2 linked regions of the Arabidopsis thaliana genome follow. The protein of the gene in region 1 purifies or fractionates together with the protein of each later gene. This does not show direct contact. Each region holds a gene or a part of one and is shown on either strand. Other genes may lie near its edges.

Evidence for each region.
Region 2: the proteins of FIS1B (region 1) and ARC5 purify together in Arabidopsis thaliana (affinity purification with western blotting, with the first as the bait; one study listed by BioGRID). This does not show direct contact.

The regions. Positions count from the first base shown.
Region 1 is NC_003076.8:4,008,108-4,015,273, reverse strand, and holds FIS1B (Tetratricopeptide repeat (TPR)-like superfamily protein), read left to right. Parts: upstream 1-3,139; 5' UTR 3,140-3,323; coding exon 3,324-3,431; intron 3,432-3,432; exon of another isoform or gene 3,433-3,636; coding exon 3,637-3,766; intron 3,767-3,889; coding exon 3,890-4,011; intron 4,012-4,098; coding exon 4,099-4,162; intron 4,163-4,246; coding exon 4,247-4,326; 3' UTR 4,327-4,586; coding exon of another isoform or gene 4,587-4,796; 3' UTR 4,797-4,831; downstream 4,832-7,166. Other genes in the region: AT5G12400 (PHD-finger and DNA binding domain-containing protein), read right to left, coding at 5-1,461; ANNAT8 (annexin 8), read right to left, coding at 4,587-4,796, 4,888-4,977, 5,134-5,346, 5,427-5,645, 5,732-5,877, 5,979-6,051; exocyst complex component sec10, read left to right, coding at 6,829-6,912, 6,991-7,166. UniProt on the Arabidopsis thaliana protein: Component of the peroxisomal and mitochondrial division machineries. Plays a role in promoting the fission of mitochondria and peroxisomes.
Region 2 is NC_003074.8:6,848,342-6,857,515, forward strand, and holds ARC5 (P-loop containing nucleoside triphosphate hydrolases superfamily protein), read right to left. Parts: upstream 7,250-9,174; 5' UTR 7,049-7,249; coding exon 6,686-7,048; intron 6,525-6,685; coding exon 6,357-6,524; intron 6,262-6,356; coding exon 6,139-6,261; intron 6,063-6,138; coding exon 5,841-6,062; intron 5,765-5,840; coding exon 5,631-5,764; intron 5,540-5,630; coding exon 5,447-5,539; coding exon of another isoform or gene 5,432-5,446; intron 5,333-5,431; coding exon 5,269-5,332; intron 4,882-5,268; coding exon 4,833-4,881; coding exon of another isoform or gene 4,740-4,832; intron 4,550-4,739; coding exon 4,467-4,549; intron 4,234-4,466; coding exon 4,076-4,233; intron 3,932-4,075; coding exon 3,871-3,931; intron 3,560-3,870; coding exon 3,497-3,559; intron 3,410-3,496; coding exon 3,309-3,409; intron 3,205-3,308; coding exon 3,147-3,204; intron 3,041-3,146; coding exon 2,708-3,040; intron 2,612-2,707; coding exon 2,447-2,611; intron 2,346-2,446; coding exon 2,250-2,345; 3' UTR 2,017-2,249; downstream 1-2,016. Other genes in the region: BCAT4 (branched-chain aminotransferase4), read right to left, coding at 1-123, 224-400, 771-948, 1,057-1,088; AT3G19740 (P-loop containing nucleoside triphosphate hydrolases superfamily protein), read right to left, coding at 7,603-7,710, 7,813-7,884, 7,979-8,038, 8,123-8,261, 8,341-8,525, 8,651-8,734, 8,962-9,084. UniProt on the Arabidopsis thaliana protein: Mechanochemical GTPase component of both plastid and peroxisome division machinery. Required for the last steps of plastid division specifically in mesophyll-cell, when the narrow isthmus breaks, facilitating the separation of the daughter plastids.

The DNA of each region.
Region 1 (7,166 bases):
ATACCTCAGACAAGCAGACGCAGATAGGTCACCTTCAGCAGCGAGTTGTTTCAAATGTTTTCTTAATATTTGCAAGACAGAAACATGGATGCTATCAAATAATAGACTAGGAGACATGCACCTCAATGCTTCCACAAAATCCTTCAGCTCAAAAGGACTCAAAAACAGCAAAGTACTGAAGGACCTCAGACAAGAGTAAGCAGTAAAGACATCAAGTACAGGAAGACCGTCTAAATCCAAAATAGGGGAGGATGGAGGTAATTGTGGCTTTGGCGGGAGTGCAGAAATATTATCAGCTTTTCCATCAACAATCCAAGTTTTCTCCTCTGTCAGACTACTAATTGAAGGAGAAGGGGATACTTCCTCAACAAAGCAAGCTGTTACAGTACTACTGACAGGCGATCGAGCTAACCTTCTACGAGCGCTTCTTCTCAACTGAGGTTCACTCATGAATTTTGGATTGTCAGAAGCTTTTCTTCTTTTCCTCCTACCACTTGTATATTCACCTGAATTTCCCCTATCAGAGAGAGTCTCATCAACAGTCTTAGCATCATGATGAGGTAGATCAGGATCCTTCTCAACCCCATTAGAATTAAGATTCTTGAGATCTTGCGGTGAAACAATGTTCTGCTTCTGTATCTCCTCCAAAAGCTCAGCGCTGGACACTTCAGCAACATGAACTTCTTTATATTCCCCAGTCTCAATATTATCCTGGGCACCATTTCCGTCCTGCATGTTGATTTCTTGAACAATGTCATTTCCATTCATTTGACTGTACTCCTCATCCTTGCTGTTCTCTACATCAACCTCCACGTTCAAATCAAATCCTACCTCCCTCTTCTGCCCACTGAAATCACAGATAGCAGCATTGTCCAAATCACAGCTCGCATCCATGTTCAGATCAATATCCCACTTCCGTTTGTCACTACAATTTTCTTCATAATCGATATTTACATTAACCAAACCTAGATTTTCATTCGAATTCCAATCCAACCCAGTAGTCAAATCAAATCCAGTTTCCGATTCCGACACCGTCCTATTCAAATCCGTGACAGAGGAGTCCCATGTCCTACCTAGGGTTTCCACAGGACCACAATTCAAATCAACATTCCCTCTCAAATTCTCCTCACTAACTCCCGAATTCTCCGCAACTCCATCATTTAAATCGACATTTACCTCATTCAACCCAGAGCTCTCTCGCTTGATCTCAACCACCCTCGCAACACGAGACCGTTTCTTCGGCTTCCTACCAACTCTCTTCTTCTTCACTGGAACCGAATTCTCCTGAGATTTACCATCTCCCATCACGAGAGCAACAACCTCATCCAATTCCGAAATCTCCGTAACACCGTTCTCATAAACGATCTCGAAAAATCCAGACGAATCGCGAGATCGAACCGTCCCGGAGCAAAACCCAATCCCTTGGATCTCCTTCCTAACGACTTTACCAACCAGCTCCATTGCTACAAAAGCTTGCTCTCGCTTCACGATACAAGCGAATCAAAGAAAACCCATAGCCAAAGTCTCTCTGGATTGCAAAAAAAAAAGGAGAAGCGCTGGGTTTTCACTTTATTCTAGAAACGCTTGCAACGTGCAAGGAGAGAGAGACAAGGACAGAGATTCTCTCTCTTCTTAATTCTCGGAAGCAAAGAAAAAAAAGTAGAAAGAGAATTCTTCTTCTACAGAGAAACGAAACGTCTTAACGAATTCTCTCAGTGATGATGAGAAGAAACAAAGACGGGTTGGTCAATGTTAGGAAGAGAAGGCCATCTCTCTCTCTCTCTCTCCCCCCTCCCACACTACTCTTTTTTTTTCACCTTTTTTTCTTATTTATGGTCAAAGGATGTGTGATATGTATATTGTGATATGTTTGCCTGTTTTTTTACCTTATTTATATGAATTGGTACTCTAACTAACAAGTTACAACTATGTCATTACATGTGTGATTGATTTCTTGATGTACAGTTTATTATTTTCCAAGTATTCAAATAATTTAATTTATATAAATATATAAGTAAAATAAATAAAAATTGGTAAATATTATTAACTAAAATGTTAAATTTGTTGATATAATTTATGTTATAATTAATGGATATTTTATGTTAATATATGTGTTGTATAATTTCAAAATATTATTCTAAGAAACACATTTGTATACAACTACAATAAAGATTTGACACATGGAAATGTTGTCCTAATTTTGTTTTTTCATCTTATTCTCTTTTTAGAGGTACATTTGTGCTAGTTTGTTCATGTTTGTCAATATTCGATAAATACTCTCTTTGTTAGTTTCGAAAGTATATATATCCACCAATCTTACTCTCGAATGTCATTCTCTAACCAATCTGCAATTTCTCCTAACTAAAAATTCCTAGTGGAGATAAAGCATGACGGAATGAATGCATGATGGACAAATTAGTATAAAAACTCATGAAGATTTGATGTTTTTGTTTTTGCTAAAAGGTAAATATCATTAATATGAAATAGAGTTTGGATTTATATTTTGATTATCAATACAATTCCTAGTAAAAAAAAGGTTTGAGAAAGAGAAATTAATATAACATACAAAAATTTATAAATTAGATAACTAACCAAAAAAAAAAATTATATGATATTGTGAGTATAATATATATCAATACATTTTTATCCTTTTAAAAACCATCACTATTACCACTTTTGGCCACCACCACCTCCGGCCACCACCTTCGTCCACGACAACGTCCAGTCACCACCACCGTTCACCACCACGTCCGGCCACCATCACCTCCGGCCACTATTTCCGACCACCACAACCTTCGGCTACCACCACTTCCAGCCATAACCACCTCCGGCCACCACAAATTCCGGCCACTACCCTCGGCCACCATCATTCTCAATCACAACCACTTCCGGCCACCACCATCTCTGACCACCACCACCTCCGGCCACCACCGCGTCCAGTCACTATCACCTCCACCAAAACCAATTTGGTCAATAATTACCCTTTATAGTTAGTTACTACATTTTTAAAATTATAGTGTTAGTTTGTTAATTATTTTATCAAATGTTTGTTTTGCAATTCACTCTGTCAATTTTTTTTTTTTTTTTGTTAAACCAATATTATCTTTATAAAGAAAACATTAATATGATAATAAATTAATAACAATATCCACCTAAAATTCTAAATTAATTTAAAAAATCTCTAAATTTACGCAAAAATTTTATTGCCGTCAAATTTCTGGACTGGTCTTCGTCAAAGAAAAATAGCTGAGCACAAGGGGAGGATCATCGTCAAAGCCAACGAGAAGAATACTCTGAAATATCTTGAAGCTGCGACAGGAAAAATGGACGCGGCGATAGGGAAGGTTTTCGATTCCGTCTCAGACTTCTTCTCCGGCGCTGCTTCTGCTTCCGCCGATGAGTTTCCCTTGTGCGATTCCGACATCATCTCCGTAAGTTTTATGATTCACCACCTTTTATGTTCCTCAACTTGACACGCACAGGAACCTCGAATCACAAATTTCCAATTGTTTTAATATCTCCTTCATCGGATTTTGGATTCTCTTGCGTTGCTTGTCCTTGTAAAGAATTTTTTTGTGTTTGGCCTGAATTTTGGCATGCATACATAATTTTGTAAGGAATTGACATCGTTCTCAGGGATGTGAGAAAGAACTTGCAGAGGCTCAAGACGAAGGACGTAAGAAGGAATGCATTATGCGTCTTTCATGGGCTCTTGTTCATTCAAAGATGCCTTCGGATATTCAGCGTGGGATTGCAATGCTTGAAGGTAATAGCTTATGTTCACACTTTCTATGGAATCTTCAGCTGCCTATTGTTCTTCCAAAAGGTGGATGCTTTGATCCATATGACTGGTTTGATCTTAGCAAAGTGTTTTGCTTTGTTTTCGCAGCTTTGGTGGTTAATGATACAAGTGCAATGAAACTTAGGGAGAAGCTATATCTCCTTGCTCTTGGTTACTATCGAAGCGGTGACTTTTCAAGAAGCCGGGATTGTATAGAACGGTGTTTGGAGGTTTGATCATCTGTTCCATGGATAACTCCTGAATATCTTATTGTTGATGTATTCTACAATGCCTTCTTTTTCTTTCTGTGGTTTTAGGTTGAACCGGAGTCCGGACAGGCTCAGGCACTCAAAAAGGCTATAGAGGACCGTATTGTGAAAGGTACTATTGTGTCAACTGTCCACACATCGTCCATTAGAATCTTCAGCTGCTTTTTCTTAACTCTCTTTTGATTTTTGAAATCAGATGGTGTGATTGGCGTTGGAATTGCTGTTACTGCTGTAGGGGTTGTTGCTGGTATTGCTGCAGCCATATTACGCAGCTAAGGAGGAAAGAACCCATACATGTACATGTTTCCCTTATTTTCAGTGAGTCTGTTTAGTTTCTTTGTGTCCTTCAAAGAATGTCTTTATTAAGGAAAATTATGTAATTCCTGTTTTACTATGAAAAGCTAAACAACAGAACTGATTGAGGAAGCATCAAACAGAAAACTTTATTATTACTTCAGCGTTAAATATAGTTTTATTCCATACTAGAAAATTAGAAGAGATGCAACTGTTTTAAGGTGTTAAGTTGAGGATGAACTCTAAAGTTGTTTTCCATGTCCTAGCAAAGCTAGAAGAAAGGCCTTGTAGTCCCCTGATGTCTCTTTTGCTATAGCTTGATCGAGACTCACATTGTTCCTCTTAAAGTACAGCCCAGTTATATTCGTCAGGTCCTTTTCTGCTCGTGTGACAATCACACGGTTCAGAGCATCTTCATCAGTCCCCACCGTGTTGATTGAATTGCGCAAAACCTACGTGCATTAGGGATTAACCATATGAATACCAGTTAGTTTTATTGGGATAATTTAGAGAACACATCTAAACAATATTGTTGCATCCTACCTTTGCATAATACCGGGTAGGGTTTTTGATGCACCTGATGGCTGCACGTAGTGCACTCAGGTACTCATTTGTAGGGTGATTGAGGAGATCCTGGTCATCAAATGTTTCATTAAGGACAGCAAAAAGAACATTGTCATGAAGAAAAACTGGTATGACTGCTGTATTGTTGTCTAGAAATTTCCAATTGATTGCTTTGTCACAGATCAGTTATAACATAACTTGATGTTCATTTTTTTGTTTGTATACCTTAGTGATCGATGTGCCATATATATCCTTGTAGCGGTTGAAGATTGCGCTAAGCTGCATGCTGCTCCTTGTACTTAACACCCTGATCGTTTCTTCGTGATCAACAGCCTTACCAAGGATTTCATCATGAAGAATCGCAGCCTCTGATTGCGCCAGCATCTCATCAATTTCTTCTCCATCATATTTATAAGCAGACACCATTGCAACCAAGAGCTGTATATATCAAGAAACGCCCAAGCGTTGAAGATCAGTCAAAACTAGAAGAAACTATCTGGAAATTTAAAATTACTTACTCTCCTGATGTCGCCAATAGTACGGGAGGCCAAGTCTTCCTCAAGAGAATGCTTGTAGAGGCAACGGTAAGCACGTCTAGCAGCTAACATATCTTCAGGGGATCTCATGCAGGCAATTTCGACAAGAACCTTGTAGTCAGGAATAGGCTTTTGAAGAGCCAAGTTAGCCAAGAGAGCATCTCTCTCTGGAGGATCCAAGACCCACAAGCAAATAGCTCTCTGCAGGTAACAAATATATTTATCTTTTGTGGATTATTGAAATAGAGTAGAGTAGAGCACATGGAGGAGATATATAAAATCTAAACCTCAAAATTGCCAGAGAGCTCAGATTTGAGCTGGTGAATGAGATCCTCATGGTAAATCTCCTGGTAAGCTTGTCTTATGAGCTTCCTCTGGAACAAATTCCGGTGTCCTAAGATCGAGATGATGGCATTTTCATTGGTTCCCCATCCTAAAACGCCAAATAGAAATAAAGAAGAGGAGTAAAGGAGATAGCAAGAAACTTGATGAACCACATAAGTTTTGAAACACTAATCCAAAGAAAAGTAGAACCTTGACAAGCCGCCTTGATGTTTTCAGCGTCTTCGACAGGGGAGAAATGTGGAGGAGAAACAATGGTGGCCATTTTGTTTTTTCTGTTTCTGCGTAAGATATCTTTGACTCAGATTAATCACTTGTTGGATATTGCTTCCATTGCTTTGAGCACTCTTAATTTATAAGAGTTGGTAATGATGTTACAATGCTTTGAAGAGACCAGAAAATGTTTCAAACGGCTCATTGATTGTTTTTGCTCTATGTTAATCTGAAACTCTCTCTGTTAACGCCACCCCTTTATGTATATGACTTTGCCGTTATTTTTTCAGGAATTAAGTTTTCATAAGGAATATTATTGCATCCCATAACACAAAAGCTAACTGTAAACACGAACACAAATATTTTTGCCTTAGAAAAAAATTAACAAATTAACAGTTGATCAAATTCGTTAACCGGCCGGTTTAGGAAAAAAAAACTCGTATAAAATAAAATTAACAGCTCATCAGGAGGGAGCTCATAGTTGTGAAAAGTCCGCCATTGAAGACCGTCTCTCTTTTCTCCGTCTTTTTCTCCCTGCAGTTACCGGATTCCTCCGGCTAGATCTCTCCGTTCATCGCCGGTAAGTTGCTCCATATTACATTTTTCCTTTCCCGTGTGCGCGATTGGTCATCTATAGGTTCTAAATTTTGTTGCATTCGGCGGAGTAAACAGCGATTACCGGTGATGACTTAACTTAGAAGATTTACGCTAGTGTAGTATCATTGAAGAATCCAGAATCATACGCATCTCTTTCTGCTATTTATTGAATGTTTCATATATGATCTGTCAGACTTGATTCTTCAATTCTTTGAATTTTCCATTTTATCAGATGACAGAAGGAATCAGAGCAAGAGGACCCAGATCATCCTCTGTTAACTCTGTTCCTCTGATTCTTGACATTGAAGACTTTAAGGTGAGGTTTTCAGTTGCTTATGTTTTTTCACTTTTGAATCATAAGGGATATTGATTTTTTTTTTTTTGTCACTGACAGGGTGATTTTTCATTTGATGCATTATTTGGGAACCTGGTAAACGACCTCTTGCCGTCTTTCCTAGACGAAGAAGCAGATTCTGGGGATGGCCATGGCAACATTGCTGGAGTTGATGGTTTGACAAATGGGCATTTACGTGGACAGTCTGCTCCTTTGTCCTCTGCTCCTTTTTTTCC
Region 2 (9,174 bases), on another chromosome or scaffold:
ACGTCCAACAGGACAGGCAAAAGCTGTGAAGGTGGTCTCAGGAATGGGAAATGAACCAAGAATCGGACCACTCCCAAACAAGATAGGCCTAATATACAATGTTCCTTTCCCCGGAGGAGGAATCTGCGTACATATATAAGAAAACCCCATTGATTATATCTTTCATTTTATAAGGTTTTATTATCTTGACGAATTCATACAACAATCAATATATATAATATACCCATTTCTTGTTGGCAAGAGCAACTTGTTTGATGGCGGAGACGAATTGATCGACCGAAGGATAAGGCATATAGAGTCTGTCAGCTCCGGCTTGAAGGCGGAGACCGTTTTGGTCTGGTCGGAATAGCAGAATCCGACCATCTTCTGTCCTGTAAGCTTTCAGTCCTTCATATAAACCCTAATCATTCCCAAACCACCATAAATATTCCAGTAAATTAGTATCAAACCATTACTTAAGAATTGTTGCGAAACTAGATCACATACAATGATTTGATAGGAATATCAATACTTTCATACTATTCGGTTCGTTGATATACATTAATACATATATGTACAACTATTTCATTTTTTCAATAGTTTATAGCTCAAATATGCATACAATATAGTTGCTAACTCAATAGTATACTATGTAATTATATTTATGATAATTAGCTCAATCATTTTATTATCAGTGAGAAAGCTATATATTCATGTGTTAATAGTTTTTTCTGTTTCATCTAATAACGATCTAGATTTATATTCATTCTTTTAAGTCATATATAACAAACCTGGCCATACTGAAGAACAGCAGCGCAAGGGTTAAGTTGCAAATCAGCAAAAGGAAGAATCTTCCCCTCTTGAAAACTCTCTCCATGATTGCACTTCGCAACATACATATAATCCGTACGAACAAACTTGAATGCCAACTCTTCCCACTTGACATTCGCATATTTTTCATCCGAAACACTGTAAATTTTGATAAATAAAAAAAAACAAAAAAAAGATCGCCAAATCATATTTCATACTATCAGATTTAAACAATATAATTTGTTCGACGATACAGAAATATTTTACCTCACAGGAAGAGGTTGCGCAGAAGGAGCCATGGATGTGTTTGTTCGAGTCGAGTTGCTTTGTTGTAAGTAGGTAATTGCAAGAAACTTGAGTTGTCTATAAAGCTTTGGAATACTTCTCTTTATATATACGTTTACAACAATTTTTTTTTTTTTTTTTTTTCTATTTTTACAACAAATTGTTTTTTATTATAATAATAAACTTAAACGAAAATAAATAATATCTCTTTGTTCTATTTCTTAAAAAAGAAATTAGCTTGTAGTACTTCAACGTATCTTAACTCTTTAGTCTTTAGTAGGTATATATCATCTATTTATTTATTTTTATTTTTTTTATATTACGATTATAGTGTACGTACGTATTTATTAATCAAAAATAACTTGGTAGAAGTAAAAAGAAAATGATTTTTTTTTTACTCAGTGATCAGTTTTACGTTTATTCAAAAATAAGTTGTAGTTTCCTTCTTAATATTCAAGTTATATGACTAAAAATTGGTCGGTTAATTTACTATTAAGATTAATCGGAAACTCTAGTTAGATCACGAGATAATCATCACGTGGAGAAACATTTGGTTCTTGTCACGTGGAGAAAACGTTAAGCTTATTTTTTACTTCTTTATTATATTTTTGAGGAAATGGTTGAAAGAAAGAGAGTGTTTAAAATGTGAATGCGCTCGTAGTTAGGTGGAGGTTAATGGGTAGGAGGGTAGGTCATATGTGTATTAGTGATGGATAAAAATTAAAAACATAAAAAAAACTTCAAGCTGTAAATAATCTAATAAAAGAACATAGAAATATAATCAAAGAACCATTTAACTAAATAAATACTTTCGATTCAAATAGCATATTTCTAAGTTCCAAGAATAGCTATCCTCTATCCACATGTTACATTTTTTTTTTCTTTTTCACATCCATATAGTTTTTAAAATAATTTTCTAGATGGTATTTTTTATTCGACATTTTTTTTTCCTTTTAGATTTACTGATTATAATTTATTTAGAAATAAATGATACGACTGTCGTTTCTACAAAACTGAAATTTGCAAACATTGGACCAAAAAGCGAAACCTTAATCACTTGAAACGACAACGTTCTTTAGTATGTTTTTGGACATACAAAGTACACATAAGATGTTCCCTCACTCTTCGATTGTTTCTTAACCTAATATAATTAAGCAATATTGAACTTGAGTCACTCAATGCTGCACCGAAGGAGCCTTTAGATTTTGAGCAAATTCATGAGAGTTTAGCTTCTCATTCATCACTCTGAATTTCTCTTTTATCCTCTTTATCTGTCCAAAACATGACACATAACATAATGTTAGTTCTCCTGCATACTTCCAATGGCAAATAGAAAAAAGAGACATTGATCATAGAAGTCAGTTTGGTTTACCCTTCTGAGCTCGATCTCTGTGCTCCGTTTCTTTTGATCAAGTGATTGCCGGAGATTCGTGATGTCGAAGATACTATCGAGGTCGTCTTCAAATGCGTTTTCCAACTCTTCCCGGAGAAGAGCAGGTAACTTATCAACGATGGGCATTAGAAGAAAACAGTTGAACTGCAGAACAAAAGAAAACACAGATACAAACTTTTTAAAAGAAAAGTCATTTTAAAAGCAAGAAGAATCTGAGTAAAAACTGAAGTAGGAGCAAACCTTTAACTCAGCAGAGGCGAGAAAGTACTCTCGTATGCCCTGGAATATCTGTTGGACCAATGCGTACACAATTCTCTCAGAGGAAGGAGCAAGCTTGCGGTTCCAAAGTGTGCTATCTAGAAGATCAGCCAACCGCATTTCTGTTGTCTGAATACTGGAACCTGAATCGATGTTTGAGGCGAGATGGCTTAGCTTTACATCTGATCTTGACTTGGTGTCTGTTGTGCCACCTAATGCATCTTGGGGAAGACTAAATCCTATGGCATTACCTGATGTCGTATTATGCTCTGTTCCACCAAATGAGTCCAAGAATTGACGTAGACCAGCTCGGTTCTACATAACATTGAGAAACGAAAACTACTCAATCAGAAACGGATACTTGATGGTATGTACACAACTCAATTGGATTGAAACAGAGCTATAGGGCTGTAGCAATGACCTTGTTGTGAAGAGACCATGTAACATAGCGAGTTGTACTTGCTAAATCCTCCATACATCTGCAAACAATATAAAATCCAAAGGGTGATCAATCACTAAAGCTCACTAGAACACAGGTAGGAGGCACCGACATGGTAAGAACAGGAATTGGAAATAGAATTACTTGTCACGACATGATTTTTCTGTGGACTCCACAAAACTGTTGAATGCTGAAGCAACCCGCTTGAGAAACACCTCATGCCCACTTAAATATTCACCTTCTTTCTATTCAAATTTAGAACATACATCAAAAAATTTGCTGGAAAGGGATCATGAGTATGATACCGTCAAACCAAAGAAAACAGTACCTACCTGAAGAAGATATACAGAAATTGGAAGCAATCTCTTGAGAATGTGTAGAAGCCTCGCCCCTAACTATATCAACGCAAAACAAACGAAAATGAGAACTGGAAAAAACTTTCTGTATGGAAAGAGAAACATGTGAATAACAAAATTTCAGATGAAAGTATTCCCAAACATAGTTTCTGTAAGCAGAACATGTTTACTCGATAACTCTTATGCACAAATAAGTTCCAGCAAATCTCAAAACTGAATGGTAGTATGATTTCAATATATAACGTTATATTTCATTTTTTTTTTTACGTACAGTACACCTTAACTAATTAGTAAAATTGCTTTCCATCCTCCACGAAAGAAAAAGAAAAAAGTAGCTATATCTATGTCACCTGATGAAGGAAAGGTTCAAACGTCTCACGAGCCTTCGCAACTGCTATAACACAAGCTGTTCTACAACAGCAAATAAGAGAAAGAGAATAAGAGGCCATAGAAAACATGACAAACGTTGCAGCTCAGATTAGATACTGAAAGGGGTCTGGGATGCAAAGACAATAAATTGAGAAGTGTGTTGCATGTCAGTCAATCCTATGATACCTGGAATAGTTTGTTCCATCATGAATATCCTCAACTCCACATGCATTTACAATTTCCTCCCTCGTTATTGGGGGACATTTGATAGCACCAACTAGAAAACGAAACTCAGCCATGGCACGGTGATATTGTGCACCCCCATAGAGACGCATCCCTGCATTCTGTAAAATGAAAGATAATCTGGTTATGGTCTCTCATAATTCTTGAAGGTCCAACGAAGTATCTCTTTTATTTGTTTCCAATACATTATTCTTTGGCACATATGTTTCATGCGGTCAAATTTATCTTCCATCATATTATAATCCATGTACAAGAACAAGACAACTGGATTTGAAGACCATGCCCAGCTTGCTCTATAAAGTCCAACAATATTCTGCTTCAGGGAAAGACTTACCGGTATTAGCTTATGTGAAAACTGGAGACCATCAGTACCAACAAATGCTCCTCCTTGTGTCCTTTCATCTTGCAGTGTCTCACCTGAAAAACACCATGAGAAATTATTAACAATCAAAGAACCCAACATAAAGAGAATGCTGTTATAAAATGTGCTTCTGCCAGTAACCAAAGTATCATGACCAATGATTGATTGATTAGCATACATCATTCCATGTGTAATCATCGCAGTCTGGTGACCCAGTCGAATTGAACAATATGCATTTAACTAAACTGATTTTGCAAAAGTCCAATTTAACAACACCCAGAAACAAGAAAAGTTTATGCCAAAGAAGTTGACTAGCAGAGAACAGAGCAGTAACATTACCAAATTTATCTGGAGGGGCCACAACTGTTCCCTTCAATAACAGCGATAACTGATCAAGAAAAATATAAACAAAACAGGTGAGAAAACACAGCACTGATCAATACTAACAAAGGTACTTCGTACGTCAATCAGAAAATATGACGCAGCAATTTTAAAGTCTTAAGGGCATCCAACACAAAAAGTTTACAGCCATTCTGAATTTGTAGCAAGTCCTAGATATCATTTACTGTAGCATAATTTTATATGTGTCAGTAATCAATAAACAAATTTGTTTTTATGTGTCAGTAGTTAATAAACCAAAAAAAAAGAGAAGTTTACACAAATGAACTTGTTGTAATTATACAAAAACTATTAATCCACGAGTCCAGGCAAAAATGAAAAGGTATGGGAAGGTGTAAATAGAAATCTAAAAAAACGAAATGCTCTCTACAGTTACCTTGGTTAAGAAGAGATCATGGAAAGTCCTGCCTCTCTCTTTGAGTTTTGCTTCATCCAAAGAGCTGCATTGAAAGGAATTATTCAACCTCCAATGAGTTATATTTTCTATAAATCAGTAGCTAACAATTAAACTGCCTAAAATCAAGTAGACATTTTCAGACAAAACAAATTGCGACCTAAGTTCCTTGCTCACGGTATCCAGCTTTCTGACTGTACTGCGGTACTCCTTTCCTAACAGTGGAATGATCAATGGAACACTCTCTTTGTACCTGGAAAGAGAAGGGCATCAAGACTACAGCGAAAAGTAAACTACAATAGAAACAGAGGCTGGAAAAATCAGAGTTAAAACAACAGTTATACCTTTTCCAGAGTAGTTCTTCCAGAAACAACCTCAGTTTACTGATGCCAATCCTACTCTTTTCCTGTTTTGTCAGTAAACGGCCCAACTTCTTCTCTAAAGATGCAATGTCTTCCATTTCTCTAAGTGACACAGCCTGTAATAAAAACCACACATAGTTTAGAAAAAGACCTGTTTAACTTGTTTAAGGAATCAGACAGCAGAGCAGAGACCTGTTTGAACTCGTCATTAGACTTATACACTGAATCCTGTCCATAGCCAACTCTTCCAGAAGGCACAGACGTGAAAAAAGGAGAATCGCCCAATAAGGAGCTGTCAAGTGCGCTTGCAGGAGGTGAGAGAAAGACTTCCACGTCAGATGAACATGAGAATTGAGGGATTTTAGTGTCAAGCTTTGTAGAAACAACAATTGTCCTAGAAAGCTCAGGATCAACCTACATGAACGAGAAACAAACTTTAACAAAAATAAAGACAAGGTTAGACGCAATGGAGTTACGTCAAGCAACGTACTTGCATCACTATCCTTCGAGTGGTTGCAATGCTCCAGTCACTGCTATCTTCGAGGCATAAAATGATGAACTCTTTGTGTTGCATCTTTGCTCGGACTAGAGCTTCCACAGCCCGTGCTTGAACCTAAGAAAAAGAACAAGTAACCCACTCTCAAATAAAGCAAAACCAAAACATGAAATCAGCCACGGAATTGGCTGGAAGCCATAAGAAAAAACAACCTGAAGAGCTCGGTTTTTCAGTCCTGGTGCAGGAGCAATAAGTCCAGGTGTATCAATGATGGTAAGGTTTGGACAATACTTATACTGGACTTTCACAATAATCTCCTTTGCAGAGAATGGGCTACATGGCTCTTGCTCCAGCCTCATGTTCTCAGCCTCAATATATGCCTAACTCCAAATCATATAACAAATTTCGTTAACATGAGCATTTCGCTTCTCTACAATAAACCTAAGTACTTGTGTTTCTCAACATTCGTCAAAATCTTCCCAGAATTTATACGCAGAAACAAGCAATTGAAGAAGCACAAGTAATAATAATAACAAAACACCTGAATTTGTGAGAGAGATTTGGGAAGAGAAACGGAAGGATCATCATCAGATCCGAGATGACAAAGCGGGAATTGACACTGAGGATCGTACTTCATATGGAGAGTAATCGGCCGACGAGTCTTGGTTCCGCCGCCGACATGGTTAAATTGAAACCCCATAAGAGCTTCCACAAGCGCACTTTTACCGTCGGTCTGCTGTCCCACCACAAGAACCGCCGGTGCTTCGAACGGCGTCTCCAATTCCTGCGCCAAAGCGTGTAACTCGTTGTAAGCTTCGTAAAGACTCCACCGCTCCTCAATCGCAGCGTCGTCCTCTTCCGCCATTTCCTCAACCGTCACCGATTTTGCTGATACTTCCGCCATCGTCTCTTACGAAAATGAGCAAGAGGAAGAGTAAGAGTAAGAGAGTGTCTCTTATTTCTTCTACTCTTTAGTTTTCGTCGCCGTTCCTTTTTCCGCCATGGAATTAGCAGATACGGCTAATTTCAATTTTTGTCAAAAGAAATATTTTTTGTGTTTTAATCTCACGCGCATCCATGGCGCGTTGAGTCAACGTTGTAATAGTTCTCCGCTAAATTTAAATAAAAGAGCGCGTAAGGAGAGAGTTTAAGGATTTTTTTTTTTTGGTCGGCAAATACAAAGGATTTGCTTTGTCTTGACCAATAGTATATGCAGAAATATTATCTCAAAGGATTTGTGATAACTATGTAGTACAGAATTGTGATTATTGGATGAGAAACCAGAAATATTTTGAGCAAATGACGACTTGTTAATTTACTATTTTTTCATTTCTTAAAGGTCTCTCTTGTGTAACTATGATTAAAATTGAAATAGTGACTTTTATTGTTACGACATGGAACAAATCAACGAGTTCTATTGTTAAAGAGAGACATTGATGAATGTAACAAAACTGTGGCTTAGAAGCCGAAAGGAGACTTAGTTCGGGTCCCTCCTTCACCGTATTGCTCGTTCCATTTTCTCAATTCGTTCATTGTCGTCGCGTCGTATGCCACTGACGGACTTACCTGCAAATTACATTACAATGACGCAATTTCGATAATGCAAACACCAGGGGAAAAAACATGAATAGAGATGATGATGATGTTTTTTAAGAGATTGATCAATACCTTAGCTTTGGATTGAATGAAGTCGTCCAAACTCAGTGGTCGTAGATCAGGGGACGCATTTGTTACCGAGTCCTGATAATTCGACGTTTCAAAAGCATGGAGTGAGTACAAAAATTATTTTTCGTAACAACAGAAATCAACTGTGTGGGTTTATGCATGTCCTTACCTTGTTTTCTTCTTGTAACAATTCTTGAACAGGTCTGTATGCAGCTGCTATGCATAGATTCTGCAATGTAAGAAAAGAAAAGGAATCAGAACTACTGTGTTGAATCATACTCGAACTTGTAAATGAAACCCCGAATGACCAAACCTTTAGATCGCTTCCTGAATATCCTTCGGTTTCCTTTGCAAGTTTATCAAACTCGAAACCAGTTTCAAGATTTTCTGGTGTCAGAAATATCTTCAATATCTTCAACCGGTTTTCCGCATCTGGTAAATCCACATATATCCTATAAACACAAGCCTCAATACAATTATCGAAAAGATACAAATATTCCAAAGGAGAAATTACTTGAAAGCTTAAATTACCGTCTTGGTAGCCTACGAATGACAGCGTCATCAAGATCAAAAGGTCGGTTGGTGGCACCGAGAATGAGAATCCTTTGGCTATCTTTTGATCTGAGTCCATCCCAAGCTGCCATAAACTCATTTCTCATTCTTCGTGTTGCCTCGTGCTCAAAAGCACCACCACGAGCACCCAACAAACTGTCAACCTATACGACAACAAAATAAATTACAGTTAGTCCTTGAGTAACACATTTTACGCATCACAAAAGTATTCCTCATAAAAAGCAATAACCGAAATTGAAAAGTGATATAAAGCTAAACAATTTCTCACCTCATCAACAAATATAATGACGGGGGCTAGTTTGCTTGCAAAAGAGAACAAAGCCTTCGTGAGCTTCTCTGCATCTCCAAACCACTGTGCCAAACAATGGACGAAATTGACTTAAATCAGAACCAATCAGAGGTAAAGTTGGAAAGAGATTTACTCTAAGTTACAATCGGCATTGACAATAATAAGTCGATGACCGGGGTGGAAAAGTTTTTCTTATGTCATTAGATATTCTCCTTATTTATATGAAGATGTTTACAAAGTGGAATATCAACGTGACAGTGCAAACAACATAGTTTTAAGGTTCCATGTACCTTTGAGGTAAGCGTTGAGCCAGTTATGCTAATGAAGTTTGCCCCAGCTTCTGTTGCAAGCGCCTTGGCAAGCAGCGTTTTACCCGTACCCGGAGGACCAAAAAGCAATATGCCTTTACATGGCTGGAAAAAACAAAGACACACGCATTCAAGAAAACCCAGACGAGAAAATTCCAAGTCCATAGTCAAGAACATAATGACATGTATATAACA